4 linked regions of the Schizosaccharomyces pombe genome follow. The main gene of each other region encodes a partner of the protein of the gene in region 3 in a complex. Each region holds a gene or a part of one and is shown on either strand. Other genes may lie near its edges. The genes, in order: mrpl12, mrx14, mrpl38 and mrpl51.

Evidence for each region.
Region 1: mrpl38 (region 3) and mrpl12 share a complex: the UniProt entries of both Schizosaccharomyces pombe proteins name them as parts of the mitochondrial large ribosomal subunit.
Region 2: mrpl38 (region 3) and mrx14 share a complex: the UniProt entries of both Schizosaccharomyces pombe proteins name them as parts of the mitochondrial large ribosomal subunit.
Region 4: mrpl38 (region 3) and mrpl51 share a complex: the UniProt entries of both Schizosaccharomyces pombe proteins name them as parts of the mitochondrial large ribosomal subunit.

Annotation. Positions count from the first base shown.
Region 1 is NC_003421.2:1,157,892-1,166,359, reverse strand, and holds mrpl12 (mitochondrial 54S ribosomal protein bL12m), read right to left. Parts: upstream 5,905-8,468; 5' UTR 5,851-5,904; coding exon 5,816-5,850; intron 5,767-5,815; coding exon 5,280-5,766; 3' UTR 5,025-5,279; coding exon of another isoform or gene 4,368-5,024; 3' UTR 4,044-4,367; downstream 1-4,043. Other genes in the region: SPOM_SPCC4B3.06C (NADPH-dependent FMN reductase), read right to left, coding at 570-1,172; protein Nro1, read left to right, coding at 2,310-3,491; Lsk1 complex gamma subunit lsg1, read left to right, coding at 4,368-5,024; ipk1 (inositol 1,3,4,5,6-pentakisphosphate (IP5) kinase), read right to left, coding at 6,234-8,143, 8,200-8,212. UniProt on the Schizosaccharomyces pombe protein: Component of the mitochondrial ribosome (mitoribosome), a dedicated translation machinery responsible for the synthesis of mitochondrial genome-encoded proteins, including at least some of the essential transmembrane subunits of the mitochondrial respiratory chain.
Region 2 is NC_003423.3:3,800,880-3,808,911, forward strand, and holds mrx14 (mitochondrial 54S ribosomal protein bL34m), read right to left. Parts: upstream 4,150-8,032; 5' UTR 4,023-4,149; coding exon 3,696-4,022; 3' UTR 3,452-3,695; downstream 1-3,451. Other genes in the region: Rpd3L histone deacetylase complex subunit, Sds3-like family protein Dep1, read right to left, coding at 1-127; cqd1 (ABC1 kinase family protein ), read left to right, coding at 1,318-1,950, 2,006-3,451; U2 snRNP-associated protein Sap62, read left to right, coding at 4,923-5,048, 5,365-5,806, 5,870-5,955; SPOM_SPBC21C3.06 (uncharacterized protein), read left to right, coding at 6,211-6,579; trm140 (tRNA (cytosine) methyltransferase), read right to left, coding at 6,835-6,904, 6,952-7,012, 7,067-7,728, 7,786-7,916. UniProt on the Schizosaccharomyces pombe protein: Component of the mitochondrial ribosome (mitoribosome), a dedicated translation machinery responsible for the synthesis of mitochondrial genome-encoded proteins, including at least some of the essential transmembrane subunits of the mitochondrial respiratory chain.
Region 3 is NC_003423.3:3,549,618-3,556,561, reverse strand, and holds mrpl38 (putative mitochondrial ribosomal protein subunit L38), read right to left. Parts: upstream 5,219-6,944; 5' UTR 5,215-5,218; coding exon 5,173-5,214; intron 5,130-5,172; coding exon 5,072-5,129; intron 5,009-5,071; coding exon 4,728-5,008; 3' UTR 4,671-4,727; downstream 1-4,670. Other genes in the region: leucine-rich repeat protein Sog2, read left to right, coding at 1,080-3,740; SPOM_SPBC887.08 (uncharacterized protein), read right to left, coding at 4,012-4,260, 4,319-4,444; sorting nexin Snx3, read left to right, coding at 5,927-6,010, 6,060-6,125, 6,181-6,377, 6,458-6,542; RNA-binding protein Cwf29, read left to right, coding at 6,681-6,685, 6,776-6,944. UniProt on the Schizosaccharomyces pombe protein: Component of the mitochondrial ribosome (mitoribosome), a dedicated translation machinery responsible for the synthesis of mitochondrial genome-encoded proteins, including at least some of the essential transmembrane subunits of the mitochondrial respiratory chain.
Region 4 is NC_003423.3:1,696,529-1,704,228, reverse strand, and holds mrpl51 (mitochondrial 54S ribosomal protein mL43), read right to left. Parts: upstream 4,297-7,700; 5' UTR 4,148-4,296; coding exon 4,082-4,147; exon of another isoform or gene 3,991-4,081; coding exon 3,828-3,990; exon of another isoform or gene 3,732-3,827; coding exon 3,523-3,731; 3' UTR 3,357-3,522; downstream 1-3,356. Other genes in the region: phosphoprotein phosphatase Phs1, read left to right, coding at 465-477, 528-1,064, 1,117-1,193; Sm snRNP core protein Smd3, read right to left, coding at 1,601-1,667, 1,721-1,850, 1,906-1,965, 2,011-2,047; cytosolic thiouridylase subunit Ctu2, read left to right, coding at 2,256-3,356; protein Mdm34, read left to right, coding at 5,136-6,494; SPOM_SPBC19C2.10 (BAR adaptor protein ), read right to left, coding at 7,388-7,700. UniProt on the Schizosaccharomyces pombe protein: Component of the mitochondrial ribosome (mitoribosome), a dedicated translation machinery responsible for the synthesis of mitochondrial genome-encoded proteins, including at least some of the essential transmembrane subunits of the mitochondrial respiratory chain.

The sequences.
Region 1 (8,468 bases), on a different chromosome or scaffold from region 3:
GTGTATTGAGCCGTTGTCTTGAAAACTAAAATCCCTTCAAAGTATACCTAAAACCGATAGTATTGTAGACTGGTATAAGGTTCAGAGGCCTGACTACCCGAGACCATATCATAATGCTTATAATGCATATTATTCATAACGACTACATGTGTGTACATATTTTCTTGACATGTTAACAGTCAAAACAAAGCAGTTTTTCAAGTAGTAATTATGTCCTTTTTCTTATAAACGAAAAACACGAATAGCTTCACTGAAATTGTATTAAAATATAATTTTAAAGGGAACTTTTACTGCTGAACAAATTCGTATTACACAATGACTGAATATGAACCGTGTTTACTAATACATGCGTGCTAAAAATCCTTCATTAGGCAACACGAACAGCAGGAAGGATTAAGGTATTAGAGTCCATTGGTAAGTTGATATGACAGTAATAGATCTATCCATGTGAATAAAATCTAAAACCAAACAGATTTACTGGAAAATTGGCTTTTTAAAAAAAAACAAAAAACAGACTTTATTAAATGCACTCTATACTAGCTTTCAAAATACTCTTATGTTTTAATTATCTAGGGTTTCCTTTCAGGATTGCTTTCAAACAACTGAGAAAACTCACCGAAGGCTTTCTTAAGTTCACCAAGGTGCTTTGTAAATTCAACCGCTGGGTCGACTACACCTTGAACAATTTTATCTCTGGGTAACGTGAGCGCTGGCATGGTAGGCGCGACTCGCATCTTAAGAAAACCGGCAACATGTTTTAGTTGCGAAGCACAATCTCCTCCTCCATGGCCACCATAGCTTACAATCAAAAGCGGTTTTCCATTCCACTCGTGATACAAGTGGTCTAAGGCATTTTTAAGGATTGCAGGATATCCACCATTGTATTGCGGAGTTACAAAAACAAAACCATCTGCTCCAGCAATTTTGGACCCCCAGGCCTTAGTATGTTCCTGAGTGTACACATCTATTCCCATAATTGGAAGTCCGGGTTCATCGCTCATAGATAGAGGCCAATCAGTTAAATCAACTTTTTCGTAGTCAAAATTAGTCTCTCTTTTTCCCATCTCACCAACCCACGTTGCAATAGTTGGACATAAGCGTTTGCTGCGAACGCTTCCCATAATAACCAGGATTTTGGGAGTAATCTTCAGTAATTTTTCAGGCAAGGTCATGATGTTAATAATGTAAATGAATATCTGAGTATTCTTTTACTGTGTGAAACAATGTAGTGCTTTTATAAACTAGCATGTTGTTATGTCCGAGCCTCGGACATGACTAATTGTTCAAGATAACTTAGTAATATTAAAAAAATTAGAAATTCTGTCATCAAATGGTAAAAAAGGCTTTATTTTGTTTTATAATTGGCTAACAAACTTTCAATTTCATCTAGTACATTCATCCTAAGTACTTATTACTTCGGCACCTGAATCAAGTAATTTATTGATATGGCGACCGAAATATATATACTAGTGCTGTATTTTTAAGGTGCTGGAGCAATCTTGGTCCATTACCATAAAGCAGCCGTTTAAAAAAATTAAAATAAACAAACTCGTTGATCAGATATCGTTCAAAAACTAAGAAACGAATTCAAATTCCCTGCCAAAGAAACGGTCAAAACCACATAAAAGTTGCGATTTCGTATTATATTATTGTTTAATAAAGATTAGCGTTACATTACAAAACTGCCAAATCTTCAATGTTATCTCGTGCTGGCAATTTTGTATAGCACCTTTTTGCGCCATAAGCCCTAAGAAATATTGCCGCATTTTGAATATCATAGATCTCCTTTACAGAAACCTATCTTAATCAATTTACTAAGTTAAATTTCGGCTAGATATGTTTACTTCAATTGCTCTAGATCCGCTGAAGTCATAAAGCTTTACTTTCTTCCATCTCCTTTTTAATTTTGCTCTTTTTTTTTAACAATGAAAATCCAAAACGTGTTAATGTATCTTGCTGCATAATTAGATGTTTAAAATAAGCTTCCCCTTCACAATTTAAAATCATCAATTTTTGTAAACAAGTCAATATGTACGACTGTATTACGAGCCTCTATACTTTCCACTAATACATTTTAACATGTCAAGTTCTCCAAGCTTCTGGTAACTCGTTTTCCACAGCCACAAAACGACGGTATTGTTTTTGTTACGCCATGCTCTTATTAGGTTTAACGCACATGGCCGACAACGCAACAACAATACCACATTACGTTGTAACTTGCTAACAAGTTTCCCGCGCGATTTTTGGGTAGAAAAAATCACTCGATGTCAACGCTGCCTTAGCAAAACAGGTTAATTTAACGGTTCGTTATGATTGGAAGAAGACCTCAAGGTCTACGCGCTGCTGCTTCTTTAAAGAAGCAGCAGCAGCTTGAAAAACAAAAGCAAGAAGCCTCTTATGAGCTGTCAGGAAACTCGTCTCCTAGTAAGGAAAACGGAAGCGAAAATGTCGACAATGGAGAAATGGAGGATGAGACAATGCTTGTTTACACAGAGGAAGACAATATTTCACAACTTTGGGGTTTATACGAGATGAGTCGCGAAAAGTTGGAAAATGACGATATAGATGCTAGTGTGAGCCTTGTCTTTGGTACCATTCACGAGGCTGATAGAATATTACGGAATACCGAGGACATTTCTACATTACCCAAGGACTTTCACGCGGCCTATTCCTCCGCTCTTTTGGCTGTGTCCGAGCTTTTCGAAATTGCACAAAAGCGTCTTAAGGAAACCAATACCGAAGAATCCTACATAGATGCTGCAATCGAGAGAGCTCAACTTGGCTTGGATGCTCCTGGCAACGAATCGAGACTTTTCCTTGCTCTTGCTCGTGCTTACCTTGAGAAGGTACGTGTTCTTGTTTGGCGTCACGATAACGAGGAATCTCTTGCCAACATCCCGGTCACTCAGTTGGTAAACCCATATATTGAGAAGGCCATCCAATACCTTCGTCCTCTTGCTCAGGATTCCACTGAATATTTTGATGCTCTTACCCCCGATTCTTTACGCCCATTATACATTCTCTCTTCCTACCTCTTTCAATTCGGTGATCAATTCTCTGAAGCTTTTCTCCTTGATGTCTGTTCAATTATAACTGCATTGTGGTTAAAATCTGTTGTCGATCCCAACACTCCTGCCTATTATAAGTTAATCGCTCAAGAGGCTGTTCTAAATAATTATACTACCTTCGCGGAATATTATATGGATTTGCTCGACAACAGTGAAAGTAATGTAGATGACCTAATCAACAAGGCTTCCAGCTGGCTCAACAATTCTGTCGATACCTGGAATGTTATTTATACTCTGGATAAATCTCCTGAACGCTTGTTAAAACTTGCGGATATAAAGATGGATCTGGCTCAAATTGTTCAAGACGAGGCTAGTCAGGATAATTACTTGAAGGAAGCTTGCAATGCTATCAAGGAGGCTCAAGGATCAGGTGTTGAGTTAAGTCCTGATTATGTTGAGTTTGTAGAAGCTTATTCTGCTTAGGATCGCTTTTACTTGCAACTTGACGGGTGTATTTCCATTATATCATTATCCCGTTGTTATATTTTTCTCCTTGAACAATACATCCTGCATTTTTTTTCTCTTTTCGAGAGTATTTTTCTCCATTATATTTACTTTTTAGGCAAACCTTATAAGTTTGTCGCTGGCCATTTTAGATTTCAAAGCAGTTCTTTATTGAAAGGAAATGTTGATTTTGTATGTACGACTTAGTAGAGCGTATAAAAAAATAAAAATTGTTTACTGATTCATGGGTTTCATTTTACCATATAAGTAAGGTCGGTTTTTGTGCTTTTATTAAAGTATAGTAGTTATTCTTTCCCGCTATTTATACTCAGAGATCCTAACAGTTTGGTGAATGGTTATAACTTTATCAGGGCTATATAAAAATATCTTTGAAAATTTACTATTTCGCTGTTGAAATTACTAAAAAAGTAGTATTTAATAAAATGAGATTTTAGTTTCTTTAAAGGTACAGTAATAGTGTTTGAAATAAAGTAACATGCTACTTAAAGCAACAGATTTTGCAACATGCTAACAGTTTGAAGACCTCTTAATATTACTTATGCACTGAGTATATTTTAATTTATTTGAATCTGGAAAGGTTCAACGTCCTTTCGCAAAATAGTATCCCAACGCTTTTTTTAGTCTCAAATTTCAGAGATTGCAGCTTCAAGAATAGATGAACACTTGGCAAAGGAAGTTTATTCTATATTTGAAATTTAAGACAACACACATTATTATTATTTAAAAAATTATTCTTGATGTTTTTGGAATTCAAAGTTCACGAAGTATAAGAAAAACCATCATAACAAAAATCGTTGTTGCACTCGCAATTACCAATATACTTGCAATAATAAAATGGATCCATTTGAGGGCCGCATGACATTTCTACAGCTTTTGGGAAAATTGAATGCATCGCAATTCTCTCAAATTAAACCCGCGCAATTTGCAATTAAGCATCTAGACTTGGAAGAAGACTTATATTCATGTATATGGGAGGAACTAGAGTCAGGTTCGTTCAATACAAGAGTGAATATCATGTACTTTGTGGACACACTCTGTGAGATGTGCTTAAAAAATGGCCTTACAGGTGGATATCTTAATATGATTAGTAGAGATATCTGTAAGCTAGTCCAGAACGTAGCTCCTATAGGAGCTGCTGGAGCTGCTAACGCTCCAGAGGTTAGAAAAGTACTCCAGTCTTTGCATGAAAAGAAGGTAATCGATGATAATCAATATAAAGATGCTATGGCTACGGTAGAAGCCCATGAACAAGCGAGCAAGTCAGGTGATACCAGTACTTCAGGAGCCATTTCAAAAAACGACATTCTTAAGAGGATTGAAGAAGACAGAGAGCGACACAAAAGAATGCGTGAAAACATTTGGGCTATTTCAGAACCAGAGTTAGAAGCGGAAATTGCATGGAACACTACCCAAGGAATTACTGAAAGCGATTTGGAATCCCTAAAGGATGAATACGAAAAGTTTAATGAATGTCTTCATGCAACTTCCTGAACCGAAGAGCGAAAACATAGAGTGTAACCCAAATAGAATAAAAACATATAATTAACTAATAATTTTGGAGTATTTTATACATTACCTAATATCTGGTTTTTTTAGAGATGATGAATTTTCCCTCCGTAGCTTAGTTTTTATGGGAATCCAAGAAAGTAAATCGTGTCACAATGTCAAAGCAATAACAAAAAGGTTGCCCAAAGAATTTGAATGGCGGAAAAGCATAGAAATGAAATTTTTTATAAACAACCCAGTTTATTCGAGGACTACTTTACAAGAAAGTTTCTCTAACTTCGATTTTATAGCTTCAGCATCCTCTTTCAAAATATTTTCTTTCAAAACCTTTGGAGCACTTTCAACGAATTTCTTTGCGTCCACAAGAGATAATCCCAAAAGAGACTTCACCTCTTTGATCACCTTGGCTTTCGAACCAGCATCAAACGATTCGAGTTTCAAATTCCAGGTGGTTTTTTCCTCTTTCTTTTCCTCAGGAGCTTTCTCTTCAGAAGGAGCGGCTGAAGCTACTGCTGGAGCCACTGCTGCCATCGGAGCTATTTCAGCAATGTTTAACTTCTCCTTTAATTGCTTTACAAGTTCAGACGTCTCTAACAATGATAGAGAGCTTATTTTGTCAACCATTTCCCCAATTTGGGCATTATTGTTTTGTACAGATGCGGCAGCTCGAAATGATCGCGTGTTTACCAACGATCTTGCCCAGTTCTTACTGGAAGATAAAGCACGTCTTTTAAAGTTAGTATAAATTTGTTAATTAAAAATAATTACAATCTTACAGATTTCTTGTTTGGCGTGATGCGATGCGAAACATGCTGTATTTTAAAATTATACTTGAGGTGAAGTAAGGTGCAAGTGAGATGGGGGTTGGCAAGTTAAGTATAGTAACTACAACTTTTAGGTGATCATTCATCAAATATCTAAAATATGTTCAATGGATCTTATTAATTTTTCATTAGTAATAATTAGAAAATAAACTAACCTCGTAGTAAAAAATGCTCTAGAATTATTAAGTGTTCAACAGTTAGTTGAAGAGAACAAATAAATCTAACCCTTTATTTTTATGCTTTTATCTCCCTGTTAATTATCAGGCATATAACAAATAAAACAAAAATGCATAATGTATTGAAATATTGCAATAAATCCACAAATTGATGGTGGTATTACATATTAGAAAAAAAATTAACAATGAGATAATTACTTTATGCTGCTCCGGCATGCTTTGTCAGTAGACTTCATCCCACGACCATAGTACCAACCGCCTTCAATCAAATTCCTTTCATCACGTTCCCATTTAGACATTTTGGTATTCATGTCTTTAGGATCTAAATCTAGTAATGTTATGTGATCTTTACCAATGTATAAAGTCACATCTCGAAGGGTCATCGCTAACGCAACATCAGTACGAGAGTATTGCTCTTGTAGGTCACGAAGCTTCCGTAGTATACCAGACTGAAACAATCTCATTGCGATATCAGGACTCACAAATCCTTGAAGACAGCACAAAAACTTGGGCCAATTGTTGAAATCAAGCTGTAGAGGACAAAAACCAACGGGTCTACCACGCATACGGCTAAGGGCACACGTTCGACAAACAACCCAGTCAGGTGGAGCGGCAGGGGACTGAGTCAACCATTTTGGTTTCATTTCAATTCCATCTTTGAGATCTTTCATTACCAAACAGTATTGCTCATTTAAATTTAAATAAATACCAGAAGCATTTTGGGCCGCCAGCAAAAAATCCCTAGTAACTGGCTGCAAAAAAACCTCAATTAAAAAGCTTTCCATTCCAGCAAACAAAGGATAAATTACATTTTGATAGTATTCATAAACTTGTTCTGTAGTAAAAACCTGTCCTCGACGTCGAAGACGAATTACCTTGTCTTGAAAGTAAGGATTTTTACCAACATACTCAAACACCACATTCGCACTTCCTGAGGCAAGGTATGCCCATTCAGAAATCACCAGGGATTTACCGGTGGAGGAATGATTGGAGATAACGGATGTTGGTGAATAAGGTGCAGGGGATTTAAAAAGCGGATTCGATATAATTGGAACTTGAAAATTACTACTAGCAACCGATTCATCTTGGGACTCTACACCAGAAGAAAGGGCTTTCATGGATGGAGGACGCGACATAATTGGAGTTGAAGGAGTATGTGTGTCAACGGGAGAATTTGTAACAGAAGAGCTAGCGGTACTAGCCATAGGCGAAAGGCTTACCTGAGACGCTGAAGTATGCAAATTCTGAGCGATGAGAGAATTCATGGCATCAATTTTTCCAGCTTCCCACTCTCTATTTGATAAAACATCACCAGATTTTGGAAGTTCTACGGGAGGACGGTTGTTGTTTACGGCAATTAAGGAAATGCTTTCAGCAGCCTGGCAAACTGAGGAAAACTCAACGAGCCACGTTTGGGGAATATCGTCTTGAAAACAATCCCAAGGGCGAACAATGTTGTGCATTTTTCGAAACATTTGAAGTTGCAAGCAGTAAAAATGCTTCATAAGTTGTCCAAAAAAAACACGACTTTTTGCAATAAGAGTTGGGAAGGACAAAGTTAAATGCTTCTGAAGGTCATCCAATTCACCATTGACACGGACAAGCTGGCTTTGTAATGCTTTAATTTTACTTTTTTTGGTTTCAGGATCAGGCAATTCGTAAACAACCAATAATTCTTTTTGAATTTTTTCAAGTTCTTTTACTTTTTTATCTCTTCTTTTAATCATTTCAACTGCCTTCTTTACATAGCCTTTGACCTCCTTGCAAGGAGCAATAACTATGACATGGAAATTTTGCAGGGCAAGCAAGACTTCACGACGTTGACGTTCCAAGGCCTTGTTCCAATCGACCAATGTTCCGACAGAAGCAGCAGGTTGTTTTTCAGGAGGTAACTGTCTGTACAAAGAAATCCAAGAGGCAGTGACGGAGGGAGCTATACAAACCATGCATCTCCAAGCATCATAGAAGAGTCGAGAGTTATCGATTGTAGAACGAATCGCTTTATCTAATTTGTGGATCTGATCACTCCACTGCTCAATTTGTTGATCAGAAGCAGCAATATCTAATTGTTTAGGTTCTTTTTTAGACGTAGTCTTTGTATAATCTTTTGTAAATTAAATTAGCACACTATACAAATTCAAAGGAAGTAAGAAGACATACTTTTTAGAGGCATTTCAAATTAATAGAATAAATAGGATGCAAAAAAGAAAAGAAGAAGGGTAGAAAATGAGAATAGACCAAAATTCTGAACGAAATAGTTGTAAGAGAAGGAAAATATAACCAACTGGCTGATGAGTAAGTAAGTAAATGTGAATTGAAACAAGAAGCTCTAGGATAATTTTCTAGTCTAATAAGGCGGGAATTTTTGATGCTCAGCAAGGATTTGGCGGTTTGACAGGGAAGGTAAATCTTGGGGATATTCCCAAAGG
Region 2 (8,032 bases), 250 kb from region 3:
AATTATTTATTCGTTTCTCTGAATCTTTATTTTTAGGAGAGCTTTTTAAGTTGTTCATTGGTAAATCAAAAGGCTCCTTAGGGAGTATTTCATGGGGAATTGATTCCGACTGCAAATTTTCGGTCATCCTGAATTAATTCTTCAACTTCGTTCAAAATACCCTCTCGTAATTTACAAATGTCAGAATCTAAAAAACAGTATCGTTGATTTTCGTGTGTTTTCATTCAATATGTATGTTTTCGAATGAATTGGTAGTGTTGGGGAGAGGATGACATTTGATAGCTGGGCATCAGTAATAATATTCATACTCAACTTTTACACATCCTGTAGGGACATCTCAAAATTTTGAGCCAAGAACTTAATAATTTGTTCTAAATTAGCACTTCCAATTTATACTTTTATCAAGAATGGGTTAGGTGAAATATTCTCAGTCAACTGTTACTCATCAATGAAACTTGGCGAATGAACCATCGTCGATCAAAGGCTTTTTATTAAATCAATCAAAGAGTCTCTATAGATAAACTCTATGCTAGTCTCTGAGTTAACGGCAATTGAAGTAATGATGGTAAAGCTTTTTAATTCAGTACAAACAATTCCATTTTAATTTCAATTTATACTTTATTTTATCAACTGCTAGCGATTTTACAATTATCTCTCTTTGGCAGCAGAATACTACCATGAACTGATTATTTAACTTATTTGAATATTACCGATTATAGGTGTATAAGGAAAAAAAATGTGATTCCTATAATCAGTCATTTTTTATATTTTAATAATCTTCCCTTCAATTAGAACTTTGAAATTTTGATAAATTACATTTTATTGGTAATAATGAATAAAAAAATGTTTCTTCACGTACTAGATGATCATATCCAGTTTATCATACTGTAAGTTCAATTCTATAGAATCCAAATAGGAACTGAGCATTAATTAGTCAATATTTTATTTATAAAATGAAAGAATTGATTATTATTACAGTCTTCATTTTGGCTAACAATTATTATTTTTCTTTCTCCCAGTCACAAGTAGACAGCGTCATTCGACGTTGACACCAATAGACACTAGTGACACGTAAATTTGAGCAATATTTTTGAACTGGTGCATTCTTTATTTTCAAGATATTAAAGGTTGACAGGGTTTCCTAAATTCTTTGAAACACCTCTTTTAGTAGCTGCTATACACATTTATTGAACAATTCCTATTTTCTTTATCAGGTTTGCCAGTGTTTTCAATCGAAAATACCCATTGTAATTAGTTTATTTATTTTTTTGATTCTTGATAAGGAAATGCTCTTCTGAAAGTCAATAATTGGTGAACATGATTAGTTTTTCTCACTGGAATTCTCACATACGTTCGGGACTTAGTCTAAGCATGATTCCTTCTGCAAACTCTCGTTTTGCTTTCATTATTCAAAGAAATTATATTCCTGTCGTTAACTCGCAGAACACAAGATGGAAAAGGTTATGCGGGACACAGTCAGTTTGGTCACCATACAAAAAAAAGCACGTACTGGTTAATCGATTGAAGCATATATCTTTATTCCCCAAACCTATATTTGCAAGAAAGTTTACAACCCGACAAAAAAGTGAAGACCAGAAGCAATGGAGGATACTAAGGATTACATTTCTTGTCCTCCCTTTTACGGTCGGAGGATTATGGATTTTATACAGAGTCAAAAATCGAAAGAATAATATTTTCTCCTTTGACGAACTTGAATTAGAAGAGAGAAGCAATCGACCTCGTTCTATTTTTGGAAAAATAAAACAATTTTTTAATATTCTCCTCAGGTCATTTAATTTATTTATTATTTTCTCTCCAATTATTATTACCTTACCGTTTATCGCTCTTATTTCTTTCCTGCATCTTCGATCTTTGTCGTCTTTAACCGTATCCATTTGGCTTCGTTTCCTCGTTACTCAATTAGAAAGAGCAGGAGCAACGTTTATCAAGGTACGTTTTGAATTTACGCTTATCATGTTACTAACATTATTTTTTTATTTTGCAGTTGGGACAATGGGCTGCTTCACGGACAGATTTGTTTCCTCCTGCTTTCTGTAAAACACTGTCCAAATTACATTCACATGTAACGCCCCACAGCCTTGCCTATACTCAATCAGTCATCTGCAAGACTTATAAAGTGGAATCTATCGAGGAAATTTTTGTTAATTTTAACCCAATACCTATAGGTGTTGGAGCAATTGCTCAAGTCTATACGGCTACCATCAAGAAAGCAGCTACGCAGCAAGATAATTCCTACTTTACAAGTATGCTACAATCTATAGGGTTTCGACAGAAAAATATCTCTGATGCGCCAGTGACTCAAGATGTAGCCATTAAAGTTTTGCACCCGAATGTTGAAAAATACATTTCTTTAGACTTACAAATCTTAGGTTTCTTCGCAAAATTAATTAATTTGGTACCTTCAATGAAGTGGCTTTCTCTGCCCGACGAAGTTAAGGTATTTGGGGCAATGTTAAACCAGCAATTGAATTTACATTATGAGGCGCTTCATCTCAACCAGTTCCGTCTTAACTTTAGAGGAAATAGATATGTTGAATTTCCAGCTCCCTATGATGATTACACGACTAATCAAATCCTACTAGAAGACTATATGCCGGGTATCCCATTAAGCGCGTTCCTCAAACATAAGTCAGGACCATTTAACAAGTTGTTAGCTAACACAGGAAATAATGCATTATTTCAAATGCTTATTGTTGACAACTTTACACATGCTGATCTTCATCCGGGTAATGTCCTTGTTAAATTTTACAAAGGAATCCCTAAAACAATCTTTAATCAAGATAATGAGATTAATGACTCAATTTATAAAATTCTAAGTACATGTTCGACGGAGGAATGGGATTCTGCTATGGAAGAATTAAACATCTTGGGCTATCGACCGACTTTAGTATTTTTGGATGCTGGATTAGTAACGAAACTTAGTACGCAGGATCAGAAAAATTTTTTGGATCTGTTTCAAGCCGTACTTACTTTCCATGGCTATGAGGCTGGACTGTTGATGGTTGAAAGGAGCAGGCAGACAGAACGCGTTATAAACAAAGACATATTTGCTCTTAAAATGGAACATTTGTTGAATGAAATTCAAAAGAGCACGCTTTCACTGAAATCACTTCAAATAGGAACTATATTACAAGAAGTAATGACTATGGCGAGAGAGCATCATGTTCGAATTGAAGCAAATTTCGCAAATACTGTGCTATCTATCCTTTTAGTTGAAGGCGCTGGACGCCAACTATATCCAGAAATGGATCTATTAAGTAATGCTACACCATATCTTCGTTCTGCTTCATCGAAATCCAATGTCTCACTCACAAACCCAATGGTTCAATTATGGATAGCTTTAGAAGCTAGACAATTTTTGCTTTTAAGCACCTCTAAAGAAACGGTAGAAAAGTGGGTTAAGTCCGATATGATCGCACCCAATATATAAAAAAATTACGGTTTATTTTATAAATGATGGAAAATTGTTCATGAAAAATATAGTCGCAGACATGGAAAATAAATTTTATAAACTCGTGTTTTAAAGAAGTTATTAAAGTTCAAAGTTCAACAAGTAAAATTAAACAAAGAACCAATGGAAAGAAAATGTATCACAAACTAGAAAGCATTACTTAAATGAAGAATTGATAGAGGTTACTAATGCAAATTAGAGCCCATTAAAAGATAATATGTACTCAATGGCTCAGATACATCCTCCCTTTTTGTCTTCGATCTCGTAAAACACGACGACCGTTAACAGAACGAATTCGAGATAAAAATCCGTGTTTTCTTTTACGCTTTCTATTTGAGGGTTGATACTCGTTTCCATACGTTTTCCAACGCACTTGCTGCATTTGACCGAAGATGTTCATAGTCGGTAAAGAACTGTATAAAGTAGCGGTATTAAAAGGGTTTCTTGTCGGAAACCCTCTCATAGTTCCTCCTCCAGCTAATATTGAAATATTCCTGGCTCCCTTCATGGCAGGATGCAACAAATTTCGAAATTGTTGCATAAACATCATAAAGCAATAGGAATGAAAGCAGGTGACTGGATTTCAAGAGAAAAAATTTCAAAAAATAATATAAAAATTATATATGAACGTAAATGTGCAAAATGAAGAGATTTGAGATGTGATGGAGTAGCTGGTTATTAGAAAGGTTGAAGTGAATCAGTGTAGCACCGTTTGACATTCGAAGTGTTAAATTTCAAATATTTGTGTTACAATAAATTAAAATCTTTGCTAAAATCCAATAACTACGTTTTAATAGTTTCATTCAATTCACTGGAATGTCGGTAATATAATAATAATACTATTATTATTAATAAATAGTTCATTAACCATTCTTTATACGCCCTTAAAGAAAGCAACCTGAACCCCTAAAATTTGATATCGCTTTTGCTTTTTCCCAACAAATAATTGGCATGAGATTACCAAATAGTAAAATCCATCAGTTTAATGAATTCGATTCATGGGCTAAAAGTGATAATTTATAGTACAAAAAAGGTTTTAGCAGTTAAATGACATCTTATACTTTCTTTTATCTATTTTATTTTATTAATAATACCCAGTATTTTAAATTGGAAGCAAATTGCTGCAGTCCCGGCTTTTTAAATATTGAAAGCATATTAAATATACTCATATATGGGAGCATCAATACATTAAATTTATCAAAAGTTATTATTTTTTTTTGTTTTTACGTGACATAATAAAATGGAGAAAAGGAGCTCTAATCTGCTATTTAAAATATTTGTTAAAAAAAAGGCATCGACGATGAGAATTTAGCGTATTGTTCTGCATTGCGATATTTCTTTAAACATAGGGGTTCACGAAAGTACAGCCTCTGCCACCGTCTTTTAGGGGACTTTATTGTCATTGTGAAAGTACAGAAAAATAAGTGTTGGATTTTCTAGGAACTAAAAAATGGATTATCAAAACCGCGCAGGTGTTCGTTTTGGAGGAGGAGGCGTTGCTGGCTATCAAGAAACAAATGCTGCACGTAGAGAGCGTCTTCGTAAATTGGCGCTAGAAACCATTGATTTATCAAAGGTATGTTTAAAAACCACTGAATTCTGAAAATTTGAGTGCTGAATGTCAATTATAATTACCGATGAATTAATCGTGTAAAGTAAGACATGTACGTATGTTACATATTATTGAAGTTTATTAGTAGTTGCTGTTAAATTCGCTAACTATAACAACTAAAATAACAACAATAATAAATGAAAAGGATTTGCTTTCTACTTCCTTGTTTGCTGTTTTGCATGTTACACTAATTGGACATCTTTTTTTTACCCTGTCAATCACCTTGAAGCTTCCTCCTCAAACTCTTTGCGATGATATTTCTATTGCTAATCTCTTATAGGATCCATATTTGATGAAAAATCATTTAGGCACTTTTGAATGTCGTCTTTGCCTCACTACACATGCGAATGAAAACTCTTACCTTACCCATACACAAGGTAAAAAACACCAGACAAATTTAGCCAGGAGACAGGCTCTCGAAAATAAAAAGTCTCAAGAGAATGCACCACAAGTGTTGTTGGGCATTTCTCAATCCCATGTCCAGGTTAAAAAAAGTGTCGTAAAAATTGGTCGACCCGGTTATAAAGTGTCCAAAATAAGAGAAGCCGAAAGCGGAAAATTTGGCCTACGTTTCCAAATAAAGTATCCAGATATTGAAGTGAACGCTAAGCCAAGATACAGAATTATGAGTGCTTATGAACAGCGTGTTGAAGCTCCTGACCGAAAGTTTCAGTATCTGGTAGTGGCTGCTGAACCATACGAATCAATAGCCTTTAAAATTGGTATGTTGGTTTTACTGATTTTTTATTTATATTAACTTTGTTGCGCAGATGCTCACGAAATAGATCGTGCACCCGGGAAATTTTGGAGTTATTGGGATGCACCTACATATACTATCCAATTCTTTTACAACTTAACAAAAATATCGTAAATTTTGAGCTGCTATCCTAAATTTCCTTTTTATGAAACAAAATGTCTTTTCCAAATATTTCGCTCAGTCTCCCAATTTATCAATACCGCAGTTCTTTATGTGTGTAAAAGAATTCGAACTCAATCATTCTGAATTGTTTCTCCACACGTGAATTGTAGAAGAACCGTGCTAGCTAAACCTATTTTGGTGATTTATATACTTATTTTCCCAGATTTGTGGAAGTACCAATTGATAAAGTTGGCTAACTTCTACTGTATGGCGTTCGATAAATTAGCAAATGTCGCTACAGTGGACGCGATTTTTGCGATATCTAGCTCAACTTTCCTTTGGTCTACATGGGTTCTACAACGGACAATATTAAAACGGCCTAATTTTTTTTCTCCAAACCCAGTTGTTGAGAAAATGGTGCATCCAACTTTGATTACTTGGAAATTGTTTTCATTTACATCAGTATTAACTGTTTCAACCTTTACCTTCGCTTCCTGTTTGATAATGCGAACAATTGGTGTTGAAAATATAAAAGAATTTGGTCTTTATGCTCGAGAAAAGCTTAGTTTTGCAAGAGCAAAGCCAGTTAAGGATGACATTACCAGCTTTCCTAATCACAAAATTAGTATCACTTAAATTGTATACTATAAAAAGTAATTACGTGTTTATTTTACACTTTTTAAAATGTACACGGCTTCCCTCTTTCAGTCAAGTCATGATACCGTTATATGAATATTCTATAAATTAATGGGAATCCCTTTATAAAAGTCACAAAAAGCTATGCGTTTATCATAAATGATTGTATATGGCTTCATTGCAGGCAATGAACATAAGCCTCCAAATTCCTGAGTCCATGAGCTTTGGGAAAATTACTTAAGAATGAGTAATTTGTCATTTTTGAAACTTGGCTTGTAGCCAGCAACGGTACATCTTGACTCTTTTTTTTCGGTTTACAATAAGCCTAGTATGGAGATTAGTTCAGATTCGCAAAGCCGTTTGAAAATTTACCTTTTGTCAACTCCATTTTGAATAATTTTGAAATTTTTTCCAAAAACATCCACTAGTTCTTCTATTGCAAAGTTAGTAATCATTAAGGACTAATAATAGTTTTCGTTGACTTTACCGTTTGTCATGTAATACACTCTTGTACCATCACCTCTTATGTAAAAATTTTCACTTAAAATTCTGTTCTTTTTAGCTCTTAGCTGCGTCAAATCTAAACGACCATAGTCACGAAATAAAATTAATCCTCCAGGCTTTAATAATCGATACAAGTTTTCTATAGCTTGTTGCCATTGATCGGGGGACAATGCTGAAAAACAGAAAATGAGTGTAATCGCATCAATAGACGCTTCTTCAATGGATCTTAGTAAGTCTGATCCTGCCAGATCCCAAACCGAAGCACTGCAAAACTTGGCATCGTATAATGGGTTCTGTTTAACAACATCAATGGCCTTTTCTGAATAATCAACAGCAAATATTTTAAGATTTGAGTTTTTGTTTTCCTTCAAAATTGGCCAGATAGTGTTTCCAGCACCGCATCCAATTTCTAAAATTGATTTTTCTCCTGCATCTTCTTTTAGCAAGTCAAGAAGCTCTGGGAACTCTTGCGCAATCCATCTTCTATTCATGAAAAATTTTCCTTCGTTTTTTCCATAAAATTGGTCCCAGTACCTTTCAGGATGTGTCATATAAGCATCCTTTTCGGTTACAGGATATAGTTTTTGTTCCTCTATACATTTTTTGGCCAATGCTAAATGCTCATCATCCCATTCTACATGATCCCTGAACAATTAAAGTAAATTAGTACTATGCAATTCATATGAACTTGTTTAGTATTACCACGCATTTTGCTCGAAAACATCTTCTTCTTCTGTGAGCAGACGACCCCCAAATGATTCATTAATTGAAAAAGTTGCTTCTCTTACAGAAGAAGTTTTTTTCTTCTCAGAATTATCTGGTGTTGTATCCATCTATGACCAATAATTCTTTAATTCCACTTGCAGTGGTTTCTACTAGGTACTGGTTGTTGATGAAAACGTTTCATATGCAAATGATGTGAGGATTAAATGTAAAACAGAATGCCAAA
Region 3 (6,944 bases):
GATAGTAACCCATTTAGTCATAGAAAAAAAAACCGTGTTTGATTATATGTACAATTTATCAACTCATTTATTTTTATCAGGTTCTTAAATCATAATGATAAACCTAGGCGATTCTATTAGGAAGCAATATATTAAGGACTAATAAAATAAACAATAAATATTAATGATTAGGAAATCAAACGCACCAAGATAATCAAATTGATAAACAAACTATAGATAAATGACAGAAATATTGAATCAACAAAATTGCAACTCATTCAAAAAGTTATCAATTTACACTTAAAGAATTATTTACCACAAAACATACTGTAGCGTTAGCATTTGTTGCTCCTGTTAATAACGACTTCTGATCTCGATGAACTCAAAAAGTTCGAACCAACATAATATAGCGAGTGCTTTTGATCATTCAAGAATTAGAAATGAATGCTAACAATACTACATTACAATTACGAATTACTATATGTCACATGTTCTGATTACCTATCGTCTTACAAATGATAACAATACGATGTAGATCCACTAATAAATTTTTTAATTTATTAGCTAGAAATGATAGATGTAAAATCAAAGGAACAACGTTCTTTAGTTCAGCTGTGGTGGTTTGTTTAGAGATAAATTACATTACCGCCTTCATACAAGGATATCCGTAACCCCCGTTATCATACAACCATATGTACCGCTATGTAGTGCACATACGAAAATCAAGTAGTCTAACATATCATTAATGATAATTACGAACTGCATAGCTAAAAAAAATAAAACGCAATATCAAACTTAACGAAAATATTTTGTGTAAACGTTAATAAACTGTAATTATTTTAAGGAAAAGTGCTTATTCACGTTGTTAAAATAAAAAAGTACAACCTACAGATGCGTACACAGAAAGAAGTGAGTTTATTCGTTCCGCGAACTAGCTTGGCAGTAAATTTTGGGGAATTGACTTTTGTACATTATAGCATACCATTGTGGATCAATTTTATGTTCATTGCATTTTTTTAGTAATTATTACTTCTTAGAGTTCCTTTTTTTTTCAACAAAACCTTCGGATTTACGTCTGAGGTGATCGATCTTTTCATGCTATGTCTGCTCATGAGGTGTCCTCCACAAAAAACTCAGAAATTGAAAGAATTATTAAAGAGGCAGAAGATGCGGGTCCTGAAAATGCACTTACGTTAGATCTATCTCATCTAAACTTGCGGGAATTACCTTATGAACAATTGGAAAGAATCCAGGGTCGGATAGCGAGACTAGCGCTAGGCCATAACTTTATAAAGAGTATTGGTCCTGAAATCCTAAAGTTTACTCGTCTCCGGTACCTAAATATTAGATCGAATGTCCTTAGAGAGTTTCCCGAATCTTTGTGTCGACTTGAGTCACTTGAAATTTTAGACATTTCTCGCAATAAAATCAAGCAACTGCCAGAATCCTTTGGAGCTTTAATGAACCTTAAAGTTCTTTCAATTTCTAAAAATCGTCTTTTTGAGCTTCCCACCTACATTGCACATATGCCGAATCTTGAAATTCTTAAAATTGAAAACAATCACATTGTGTTTCCTCCTCCGCATATCGCTAATAATGACTTGCAAGATTCTGATATGCAGTTGTTTATTGCCAATATAAAGGGATATTTGTCGCGAAACGAATCAGTCTTTAGAACGCGAAGTGAAAGTACTGTTTCCGCTGCTTTATCCGCTTCAGCTAATCTTAGTCACTCGGAAGAAAATGACTCCTCTGTGGTTGATTCTTACTTATTTAGTGCCCCATCAGATACTAGCCATGCGGTTTCACCTGGCATGCTGACGTTTGTCACGCCAAGTCCCCATTCACATTCTCCTGCCGGGCATCAACAGTCCACACCCAAATCGACTTTGTCAAAGACAAATGAGAACTCAGAAGGAACATTGTATGATTCAAATGTTGCTCATGGATGCACTCATCCTCCATCACTTAATCAATTAAACAAATTTCATCTAGATGCGTCGCCTAGACAAGCCCGTCCTCGTAGGTCAGTTTCTTTAGCTACTGGCCTCAATTCTCCTTCTGTTTCAAAACCACCTTCTTCTGCTACAGGACCATTGTACCATTCACCCCAAAGCTCACTCACCAATTCCTCCGTCGCTAGTGCAGACGTTCAAGAACGTACTCACAATACTAACGGCGCTAGCCCCATTCAAGACCAAATTTCAGAATTCACTGATCAACATCAAAATCCCTCAAATAATGATGCTGCTTCCACACAATCGATTCTAAAAACAGCTCCAACGCAGTTGAGTGCGAGTGCTAAAACATCAGCCATAAGTTTACCTGAGGTTGCCAAGAAAGAGCGTAATAGAAGCAATAGTACAAATGATGATTACTCTTCTACTAGACTTCCATCGAGTGTTTTACATCGTCTTGAAGCCCTTAAAGAAGCGCGCAAACTTTCTGAGCAATTACCAAATCGAATTTTTGCTCAAGATCCTCATCCTTCCCCTCGTTTGAAAAAAGAAGAAACGCATGAAAATGGCTCCAATTTGACAAATGACTCGGTCAACAGCTACTTCAGTAACATTGGAGGGAGTGAGGTTGAAATGAAGCACTCGGCCTTTGAAAAAACTTTAGAGTCGTCTAGGGGCATATTGTTTTCGCTTTCGCAAGTCCAACAAGCCCTTCGTCAGCAACTTCTTTTTTGCAGCAACCCCGTTGTTTTAGATTCTATGCGTCATGTGTTACATACTGCCAATGTTCAAATTAAGCGGCTAATTCTGTGCTTTGAGGATACCCAACAAAGCAATGATGGAACTGCAAACATTAATTCCATAGTAAACGCTTCATTGTCTTGTATCAGCTCGTTTCGTAAACTAATTGAAGTGACAAAAAAATTTTTAAATGAGCTCACTAGTCGTGCGGATGTCCGATATGTTCGGCTTTTACTGCTAATTCTTTTCGATGCTGCAAAGGAGTTACAAAACGCCTTGGTACCATTGAGTCCATCACAACCCCATAGTGGTAATAACATATTCGCCGATCAGGTACGTCAATCTCCGACAAGTATGATCCGGACTGCATCTGGGCTTACGAACAGAATCGTTAGCGTTGAAAAACCAGCATCAGTGATGAATCCTGAAATTGATAAACAAATACAAGATCAGGTCGCTTTAGCAACAAACAGTGCAATGTCAGTTTTGACATTACTAATTGATGCTGTTCCTAAAAATAACCAGCCTGATCTAGTAAATGAAAACATCGCACCCAATTTGATTAGTAAGTTACGTGAATTGGGATCATTATCCGCCGCCGCCTGTGATGTTACTAGAAAACTTAAGCATCGCCTTCTAACTTTTCAAACGAATCCGGAAGAATTGGAATGGCAGCTTTTTTTGGACGACACTCAAGCATTTGTCAAGTCTATTATTGCAGTCGCAAATTTAGCGAAAGCGTTATCCAGTGAATATACATTCCAAAAAAGCGTATTAGCTGGTCTTTCAGCTGCAACAAGATCTACAAAAGATCTTACTATCTTACTTTCTTCCTCTGCTCGACATTACACTGAGTCATCTTTAGCCACTCCTGTTCCTTTGATGTCCCCAATAGCCCGCGTACCTGCAACACCGTTGTCAGCGGCTCTGGGTTCGGCTGCTCAATCTATTACATCTCCTCTAATCATGTCACCAGCTGCAATTCCGGCGTCAGCCTATAGTACTAATAAAATCGATTACTTTACTGACGCGGATGGGAACGTGGAAGGTTTACAGCGCTAAAGAATTTTTTAATGAAGATTGATGAGGAATAATTGGTAACTCGATAACTCAAAAGCCTACAAAGACTATAAATTTAATGATACAAAAAATGATGCACGATTGAATTTGATTAATTTATTTCTTATTCAAATAACAAAACCAAGGACAAATTGTAAAGGATGATGGTACAAGTAGTGATTAATCTGTTTCCACATGAAAATCATGTACAAAAATTAGACAGAGTGTGTAGTTTTGGGTAGGTACTCTTTGACAAGACAAAAATTTTTTCTAATTAATTGCTTTGCTTATTTTCAAGTTTCATTTCGCATCTTCTGATGATGTCTTCAATTTCATTGATTTCGCCTGAACTCAGTCTGTGGTACTCAATGCTGGAACTATCAGTTGGAACATCAAGTGCTTGAAATGCAAACTTTTTAGCTAAGGAATAGTTTCCCAGATAATATTGTTCTTCCGCTGCAAATTTTGATTGCTCTAAAATATAGGCTTCTTCACCGAGGACGACGCCATTTTTACTAAGATGCTGAATAATCTGTTAAAATCATAGACAATAAATTGGGAGTAAAAAATGAGTAACATACACCAAAACATTGAACTCTTGGAGTCCATCCATCAGTTTCAATGCTTACTTTCTGTTTTAATCGCTTATTCCGTTCAAGCTTTGACTCACTAACATCAAAATCCAAATCAATCGCCAGCAAATCCATTCTTACTAGAACATTAAATTCTTTTGATCGATCAGATATATTTAACAGATAATGGACTATATAATAAAGCCTGCTACAGCTGTATTTTACTAAAAAAGTGTGTAGTAAAAACCTTTTAACCCCACAATGCTTACGAGTAACAAAACTCCAAAAAAGCAAAATCTTAATTGGCTATCAGGTAAAAAGTGTTTGCTGAAGAGACAAGGTCCCTTAATTAGACGTAGAATAGAAAATTAAAAAATATATTTTAATTAAGTGAAATATTAACATTACAATACCCTTTTCAGATGGTTCGTGGAGCAAGAGATGCTATTTTAGTATGATGTTTTGTTCTGAGCTCGTTGGCAACGACTGACAAGATACGGGTTCCCAGAGGCTCACACTCCTTATTAACCAAGACGCAGGCATTATCATCAAAACGAACATAACGACCATCGGGTCTTCGAACTGGTGATTTCGTCCGAACAATGATAGCATGGTGGATATCACCGCGTTTAACTTTATTAGCAGCAGTAACTGATGAACCGCTTCGTGCCTTTTTTACCACTACTACCACTTCATCACCTGTTTTTTAAAAAAAGGTGATGTTAGTCGAATATAAACAAAAGATCACTTCGTGCTACTTACCAAGTGAAGCGAATTTTCCCGCGCGAACTACACGAATGCACTCAGCTAAGGTAGCACCCTTTTCCATCTTATTAGTACAAATAGTAATATTTTAAACTTACGGAATTGTCGATAACTTTGAGTATACCTTTAAGTCCGATCATTGCTAAAGATTCAAGTACTTGACCATACATTCACGTACTCGCTTCCACTATAAATTACACTATGCGTAATATTAGAATTTGGTATTTGACGTTAGTTGGCATATCGTAGTATGTAACACATCGCAAAATATATAAATAAAAACAACTGTTTGTATTAAAAAAAAAGCGATTTGATTAGATGCATTCAAATATGAAATTATTCCAAGCAAATTGTTTGTCATAACCTGTTATCTTGCTTTAACCTTCTGATGTTTTGCTTGTTACACATGTTTTAATCAAATTCTTCATCATGCATGGAGTTGTGGAATAGTCATTAAAGCAAAAATGTGATATTGACTAGCAATTGCTCTTATCATATTAAAATATCATAATGGATTGTATGCTACATATTTGATTTTGTATTACTCGTTAATTTTGTTGAAAGTGAGAGGAGGATTTGGACGTTAGTGAATCCATTTTATTTTTTGGAAGCAAATGAACTATCATTCTCATCTTTAGACGACGCAGTTTGAAAAAATGCTCTGCGATATGTTTACAGTAAACGCCTTACTAATTTGCGATCCGATTATGAATCTCATTAGCCGTACCCGTATCTGAGCTAGACACTACACCTTGTATCGAAACTTTTAAACTTCTTCAAAATTTCAACTATTACTTGTTAAACAGTAAAATAATATTGGATATCGCTCTTAAGAGTAATAAGGGTAAATAAATGGATAAATTAAGTAGACCGGAAATCAGGCAGCAAACTACTCAACAAATGTATGATGTTCCTGAAAACATCCTTGAAATTGATGTATGTTTACTTTATTATTTCGAAATATTTCTAATAGATGTTATTTTAGGTTATAAATCCACAAACTCACGGTATTGGAAGAAACATGTTTACTACTTATGAAATTGTTTGTCGGGTAGGTACCACTGAAATTCATCTTCTGATAGCAGATTATTAACTCATTTTTGTAGACCAATATGCCCTATTTTCGTCTACATAATTCTAGCGTTCGTCGACGTTACAGCGAATTCGAGAAATTTCACGATATGCTTGAAAGAGAGTCCGGTCGTGTTTCAATTCCACCACTTCCAGGAAAGATATTCACTCAAAGATTTAGAGATGATGTTATCGAAGAACGTAGACAAGGTTTGGAAAATTTTTTACGACTGTAAGTATTGAATGTTAATTTTGCCTTATTGCCCCAAAGAGCGTTTTAAATTGCACAAAAACTAATACATTATTATGTAGAGTTGCTGGACATCCTCTTATTCAAACCCATTCTCGTGTTTTATCTTCTTTTTTACAAAGCCCGGAATTCAAGCCTACGCCATAAACCCGCCGCTAACTTGTTTTTCTCCATTTTGCCCTCCAACTGTTAATTTTTGTCAATCTTTTTTTTTATTTTAAAAGAAAAATTTGGAAATCAATCTGTTACAAAGTTTAATTACCATTTAAAATACCTTAGGTTGTTATGAAGTAAGTTTTCTATTGAGGCTAAAATATAGCAAAAATCCGATTCATCTTTTCGCTGTTTTCGTTTTTTAATTTTAAAATTAACAAAAGTAGCTCCATTCGTCAAATTGAGCGTTTAAACGAGCAAGAGTTGGATAAACCTTTTAGCAGTTCTTGGCACCAAGATTATAGTGATAGTGCATATATTTACATCGGCAACTTAGATTTTGATTTGAACGAAGATGATATTTTATGTGTGTTTTCTGAGTTTGGCGAGCCAGTG
Region 4 (7,700 bases), 1.9 Mb from region 3:
CATAGTACTTTAAACAAATTACATATAGCAGAAAAATGTTTTCAAATAATTATAAATTTCTAATTTTAAACTGGTTCAGATTACTAATTTAATACCCGGGGTTTGTAAATTTTTTTTGACTTGATAATGTAAATAAAGACACGTATCATCAATCGAGTCAGATAACCCAATTAGTTATAGAATATGTAATTTACCTTAATTTTTTAATAATCTGATTGATATTATTTTTGATCAATTTATGATTCTGTGCGAATTTGATATTTTCATTAATACATAACGATGTTAGCCAAATCCGAATTTTAAAAGTTGTTTGTAAAGTGTTTGTATACATTCTTTTGATAGAAAGAATTTATCCATCCCCCAGAACGCAACAAACAATATTGGCCAACAATGGTCTCATACAAGTGAGGCCGCGTAGTGAAACGTTTGAAAATCGTATTGTTCCAACTACAATCCCAACAAAAATGTCGAAAATTTGTAAGACTCGATTTTTTATAGATCTCAGTTATTAACAAAGTTAAAAATAGTAAAAATACAATATTTAAAACTATACAATGTTATCTCCTGCTTTCTTTGGATGAGCGTTTTGCTTCGTACAGGATTGATATGGGGAATAACCAAAGATACAGCCGTAGTTTTTCATGAAACAAATACTTTAGTTCGCTGGGTACAAACTCTGGCAATAGCTGAAGTATTCCACAGTATATTTGGACTAGTATCTTCTTCTCCTTTAACAACAATCATTCAAGTTGCATCTCGACTTTACCTTGTTTGGGGTGTGTGCTATCCATTTTCATATGTTATTGAGGGATCTCCTATATACTTAAGTATGATCATCGCTTGGTCCATTACCGAAATAATTCGTTATGCATTTTATGCATTCAACCTGAACGGCGACATCCCTGCTTTCTTAACATGGCTTCGCTATAATACCTTCCTAATCCTCTATCCCATCGGTGCTGGAAGTGAATTTCTTTTAGTATTGAAAAGTAGGATTGCTGCTCAGTACGTCTGGAGTTTGAACAAGCTGCTTTGGCCCATCTTGATGTCTATTTATCCACCTGGTAAGTTGAGTGAAACCCAGCTTTTCTTCCAAAATCTTTATTAACTTTCTAGGTCTTTACATTATGTATACACATATGCTTGCTCAACGTCGAAAGATTTCCAAGCGGGCTGCTGCCAGAAGAACCTAATTTTTTTTTCTAAGCTAAAATAAGTTAGGTTTATTATTCTGTAGTATCGGATATTACATATTATTCAATTTTTTACTTAACTTTTGCATTCGTATAGCATATAAAGATTTATGTTGTAAATATGTATTTTAACAACACAAAATAGTGGTAATAGCATTTGTCACTATAGATAAGTCGAAGGTATCACTCCGATAAACAGCAGCTACATAAACGTACTTCGAAAAGATGTAAAAAGAGCTTATTCACAATATCTCTTACTACTTACAATGCAATGTAGAAACACGTGCGTCCATTAATTTATTGAATATTTAAAAAATCATTACGTTTTTCAACTTTAAAGCAACAGTAGAAATGAATTTTTCATTACTTAAATCACCAAATCTATTATCCTTTTTCATACGGTTCTTTTATCGTCGTCCACGTGTAGGTAAAGGAACACTTCTGCCAGGGCCAACTTTGAACATAGGAGCATTCCTTGTTTAAAAACGTTAAAATTATGATTAAACCAACCACTTAAAAATTCTTACCTAAGCATATCAGGAACGATGAGAAAACGAATGTGTGAACCACGAATGTAAACTTGATCCAAATGAGAAACACGACCATCTCGAGCAGTTACACTGATATCTCTCATTTGACAATTCATATTATCTTCCGCTAATTAGTGTAAGTAAACCATAACAAAATAGAAATCGTTTTAAAATGAATATACCTTCAATTAACTTTCCACGATACGTAGACCCATTTTCCAACTCCATCGTAACGATATGGCCTAAAAATTAGTTTTACTAAAAAAAAATTGGGTAAAAAATCGTACCTTGGGTCTCATGAAGCAACTTAATACACAGAGACATGGTCGATGGTGGTGTACTGTGTGAGTAGCTGGCACTATGAAAAATTCCAGTGTTTAGTTGGTTTGCGCACCACCAACTATTCTTTTTCCATAAAATTGGAATTGAAAGAAGAATAGGTATCTCTTAAACTTATTTATTTATACGGATAATTTTTTTGAAAGTACTTTGTGGACCTTCATTTCGAAAAACAATAGAAAAATCTAAAAAAATGCAGAACACGGCTCTAGACAATTCAGCCGACTCAAAATGTTCCAAATGCGATAATAAGGCAACAGTTCTGACTAAATCAGATGCGGTCTGCGATTCATGCTTTGTCAGAAGAATTGAGAACAAAATTCGTCGGCAATTTGAGCTTGTACGACCCAATTTACAAGGACGCAAATCTAAAAGAGCAATGCTGGCTATTTCCGGTGGTATATCTTCAATGGCAATGCTTGAAACAGCCAATTATTTATCAAAATATCGAGATGATAATTACCGGCCTATGTTTGATGAATTGCTTGCAGTTCATTTTCAGTGGGGAACGGATTCAGCTGTTGCAAAAACGATTGAGGAAAGTATTTCCAAAAATTATCCTAAATGTCCATTCAAAGTTATTGGTGAAGCTGAGTTATTGAACCGTACCATTGCTACAGACTCACGAGGAAATATAGAAATAAACGCAGATAATGAGAAATTTAATCCAGAAGTCATTAGTTCGTTAGCCTCGCGTCAAGATTTACTTTACCGAATTCGGGATAAGCTTTTAGTATCCTATGCCCGGAAGGCAAATTGTGATACCATTGTTTTTGGTGATAGCGGTACTACAATTGCTGCAAGAGTTCTTGAACTTGTGGCAGAGGGTCGAGGTTTTGCGATACCATGGTACACTTCTGTCTGCTCTAAGCTTCCAAATTGCGATACTTTCCTACTACGTCCCCTACGTGAAGTTTTGTCTTCAGACCTCAAGTCGTATATGAACATTAAGGGATTAGCTTTCTGCGATAGCTTAATTGAAGCACGTCCTAATACTATTCATGGCGTTACAGAATCATATTTCTCATCGCTGAATGATACATTCCCAAGTCTGGTTAGCACCGTTGTCAAAATGAGCTCAAAATTGCATGTGCCTTCTACAGAAGCCATATGTACCATCTGTAATCTACCAATGCAAGAAGATGCTGAGACTTGGTTACAAAAAACTACGGTTGAACATCCGGATTCCGTTGAAGGTATTAAGAATCAAAATGTTTGCTATGGCTGTTCTGTTTCTTTAAAAAGCTTAAAAGGGACGTTGCATATTCCTGATATTGAAAAAGAAGGGATTTGATACATCTGTACACTTACTACCTGGTTAACTAGAGTATTTATGGGAAGATAAATTTGGATAGGGTTTTGTATTTCGGACAAAAAGGTTAGACATAATAACATAACGAAAATGATTAAATTGAATTTTCTTTTTTTTGTATGAAATAATAAGTAGTTTGTAGAGGAATCTAAGGGGACTTTTTCTTATAAATTTCATGGGGCTTTGCTTGATCGGAAAATGGACTCCAAATACCACGAACGGATGGGTTTGTTGACTCAACAGGATATTTTATGAGGCGAGGTTTCAAACCATCACTATCTCTGCATAGAATTGCTTTTTGAAATATTGAAGACGCTGACATTTTCCTTGTACAAATGACCTTCTCTCGACCAGTATCTATTATCGTAGCATTAGTAAAAAACACTATTTTAAGGAGTTCATATTTATAAAACTAAGAGGATCACCATAATAAGAGAAAAGTCTTGGACGTACTGTAATAAGCTCGGATTAATGGATGCTTGCCTTGGCGGTTTGTAACATGAAATTCCACATCTTGAGATTCTTTGGCCAAAGACTCAAGCTTTGTGGATAAAAATTCTTTCATGCCTTTTGAGCTTCCACCCCAATTACAATACGAAAACTCAATTCGACGGCACTAAAAAGAAAATTAGTAATACGAAGTTAATGAAGGCCAATCTTTTTTTTTTTTTTTTTTTTAAAAAAAAAGAAAGCTGATTAAATCTTACTGGGCGGGTAAATGAACCTAGTCCATTTTTGGGAATTGAAATTTTAGGAATGATTTCAATCATCATTAAGTGAGTAAAAGGCCGTAAAAAAGGGGATACCGTCTTTTAAAAACCAGAATTCTTAATATGCTATATTGAAAAAAGTTGGGTGAGCAAATCCTTGCAGAAATAATGAAAAGTCGGTATGGAGACGTAAAGGGGTGTGTGGAAATTCGCAAATCCCAAATTGCTCTAAACTTCAATACTTGTTCCAATTGATTTAGAATGTTAAACTTAGTATGCAATTAGTTTTATAAAAAATTTTAGCAACAAAATCAAGTTTACTGTCTACCTACAGTTTCTGGTTACACACTTTGCAATACTTTACCTTTCTGCTCTTCTCTAAATAATGATATCTAGAAAGTTTACAGTGATTTTTTAACGTAGTACATGGACTGCGAACAAACATAATATAGGTTTTTTAAAACGAACAATTTTGATTTAATATCATTCATTTATGCAGAGATATCCTTTTCTGAAAGAGCAAAGTTGTATCGGTTCTTGTACTCGAAGTTCTTCAGCCTAGATATTTGTCAACATAGCAAATTAATACAGTAAGCAACACCACTAATATCATTTCTAAAATAATGGCTGAATTTCTGATTTGAATATCTAAGGAATTTCATTTCATGAAGCTTTATTTATCCCTCCTAAATGAACAGAATAGCAAGAAAATATATTTCACCAGTATAGCATAAGAAACTACTGTGCATTTTGTAATAATTTATTTAATGCATTCTAATACACCTTCGTTCATATACAGTACGATCGACCCTATCCTTATCTTGGCTATATCAAGGTTCAGTATGCCGCACTAGTGCATCAGCCAGCCTATCGATGTTTATTTACTGTCCGCCACTGTATGGAAGTTGTCGTTTCCCTATCCGAATTTAATAAAAATTTTGTAAAGAAATTGATCTAAAGCGTTAGTTACTTAGTCTATACTAGACGGTTCCTTACAAAAAAATTTGACATTTTTCATAGTTGATGTAGATAACTTAGGAAAATCAACAGAATGTCGTTTCGTGTAAAGGGATGGAGTGATCAGTTCTCTGAGTCATTCTATGAGCGAGCAACCACTTTGCTTACGGCTGCTTTAAACAAAGGCACTAAACACTCGATGATTGCAGACCACATCACTGTAAAAGAGTTGGATTTGGGTCCCCAACCTCCTCAACTGGAAATTTTAGAGGTTGGCGACTTAGCGCCAGACCGCTTTCAGGGCCTCTTTAATCTCCATTATTCGGGTGATGCTTCTTTGGTCTTGCAAACAAAAATTCGTGCCAATCCATTATCGGTGCAAAAAAGTAATGTTCCCAGTTTTAGTTCTCGTAATACAATGTTAGCATCTCGTGCACCGCTTACTGTGCCTATGTTTTTACGACTTTCCGACTTAAAGCTTAACGGAATAGTTGTTTTGGTGTTTTCAAAGCAGAAAGGTATCACTGTGGTATTTCGAAACGATCCTTTAGAATCCGTGCGTGTATCTTCCTCCTTTGATTCTATTCCTGCTATTGCTCGCTTTTTACAAAGAGAAATCGAGGTGCAACTGGTCTCCCTGTTTCAGGAAGAACTTCCTTCCATCATATACAAAATGTCAAGAATTTGGTTTGCCAAGTCCGACTCTAATCTATCTTTTCAAAAAATTCCTTTCACTTCTCCTAACCAATCTCATACTTCTCTGGCTAATTATAACCCAGATTTGCTAGATGGTCCTCCCGACTATCATGAATCTACGAAAGTCGACACTCATCTCCCAATTAAAATGGGCCCATTGGATGTCCAAACGCATCCTAACATTCGATCTATTGCTTCTTTAGCCTTATCCAGAAAAGCACTACTTCCTATTTCTTCTCCTTCAATACCTATGTCCATATACCGGTCAACTCCTCCCGATACGATTATACAGCAATTGACTACTCAATCTGATGATATTTCTGCTGTATCTTCCCCTGCAACCCAATATTCCGCATCAGACTATCTTGGTTCAAATGACACCACGGCTAGGCCATCCATTTTTGGTCGTAGTCATGGTACCTCACAATTCCGCCGCCGAGAACGTGTCAAGAAAAGACATGTAATTAAAATTCATGAAGCATCAAACAAGTCTGCTTCCTCTTCCGAAACTTTTGTTGGTTCTAAAAACGTTGACCTTACTGAATCTGCGTTTGATTCCATACCTGATACTCCTACAAAGATTATTACCAACATTAATAAACTTAAAAGGAATTATACCATCACTAACAACTGGTTGGAAAACCTGCAGCAAAAGATTCCGTCCGAGGTTGATAACGGAAAAGTATCTGGCCTTCAGTACAGTGCCTTTAAGTTGCTAATGTTGCAACGTCTCATGGCTGCCAAAGGTTCTTTTTAAGTTAATTTCTGTGAATAACTTTCTCTTTTTTTTTGTTAACCTGCTACTCTTCAAGCATATCTCATGGTTTATTCAGTGAAAATAATTTTTTTTTTTAACGATAGGGTTAGTTCTCTGAATTTCTTTTTACTCCTCAACATTTGGTGTTATTTCCTTTTCCGTGTCAGTTGTTACCCTTTTTATTTAAAACATTAGTATGCTTTTTTCTTACCTGGATATCTTGGTGTTAATTTTATGTTCTCCATTTTAATGAAATAATCACGATTACCATAATTTGAGGCGTTGGAATTTTTTTTTAATAATTAAATAAGCATTTAAATGCTCAACTAGAAAAGTCCTGAGATGTAAGTTAAATCTCATTATCCCGTTTAAAACGGTTACTAGAAAATTTCCATATTTAAGATGTAATCTTCAAATTTACCTGTAATCAATATATAACAAAGAAAACTTAAAAGATTAAAGGATATCTTTGACATTATGATATTCATGAATACATTTTTATATCCACTTTTAAAATAATACTGTTCATACTCTTTCCATCTTATTTAAAAGTATGAAATTTACGGAAACAAAAGTTCGAGATAAATCTTAATTATATTAAAGCATAGGTGCTAACATGATTAACAAGTCTGTTTAAACTAACTTTTAAGGTTAAGATCACTCAATTTTAATGTCATACAGACAAGTATATCGACAGTCGAAATAAAAAATGAAGAGTACCGGGTAACGTGATGCATAAAAATCAGTCGGTATTATGCTAAAAAAATGAAATAATGCAAAAGAAAGGAGCTTCAAAAAATCATTTAAAATGAAATAAAAAAGAATGATTGTAGACACAACAGCCATTAAAATTGGACGGAAAGTAGCAGCAATAGTACTCGGAATAAATGGGACTACTTAAAGCCCTTTTTCAAAAATGCCCGAAATGTTTTGTCCCATGGATGGGCTGGAACACAATAATTTGAAGGAAACATTCCGGTATTTCCAGTAAAAACCCCATCTTCACCCAGTTTCTCCCCAACCCACCAACCTTCATCAATTTCTTTTAAAACTAAAAGAAGATCTCCCTTTTTTAGTTTTAACTCATTTTCTGTTTCTGGCTCAAATGAATATTTCATTCGTACTACCTTTCTGGATGAAATGGAAGCAAGTGGAGATGAATAACTACGATTAAGCTTGCTCGGGGGAGCATCAGAAATGTTGGAA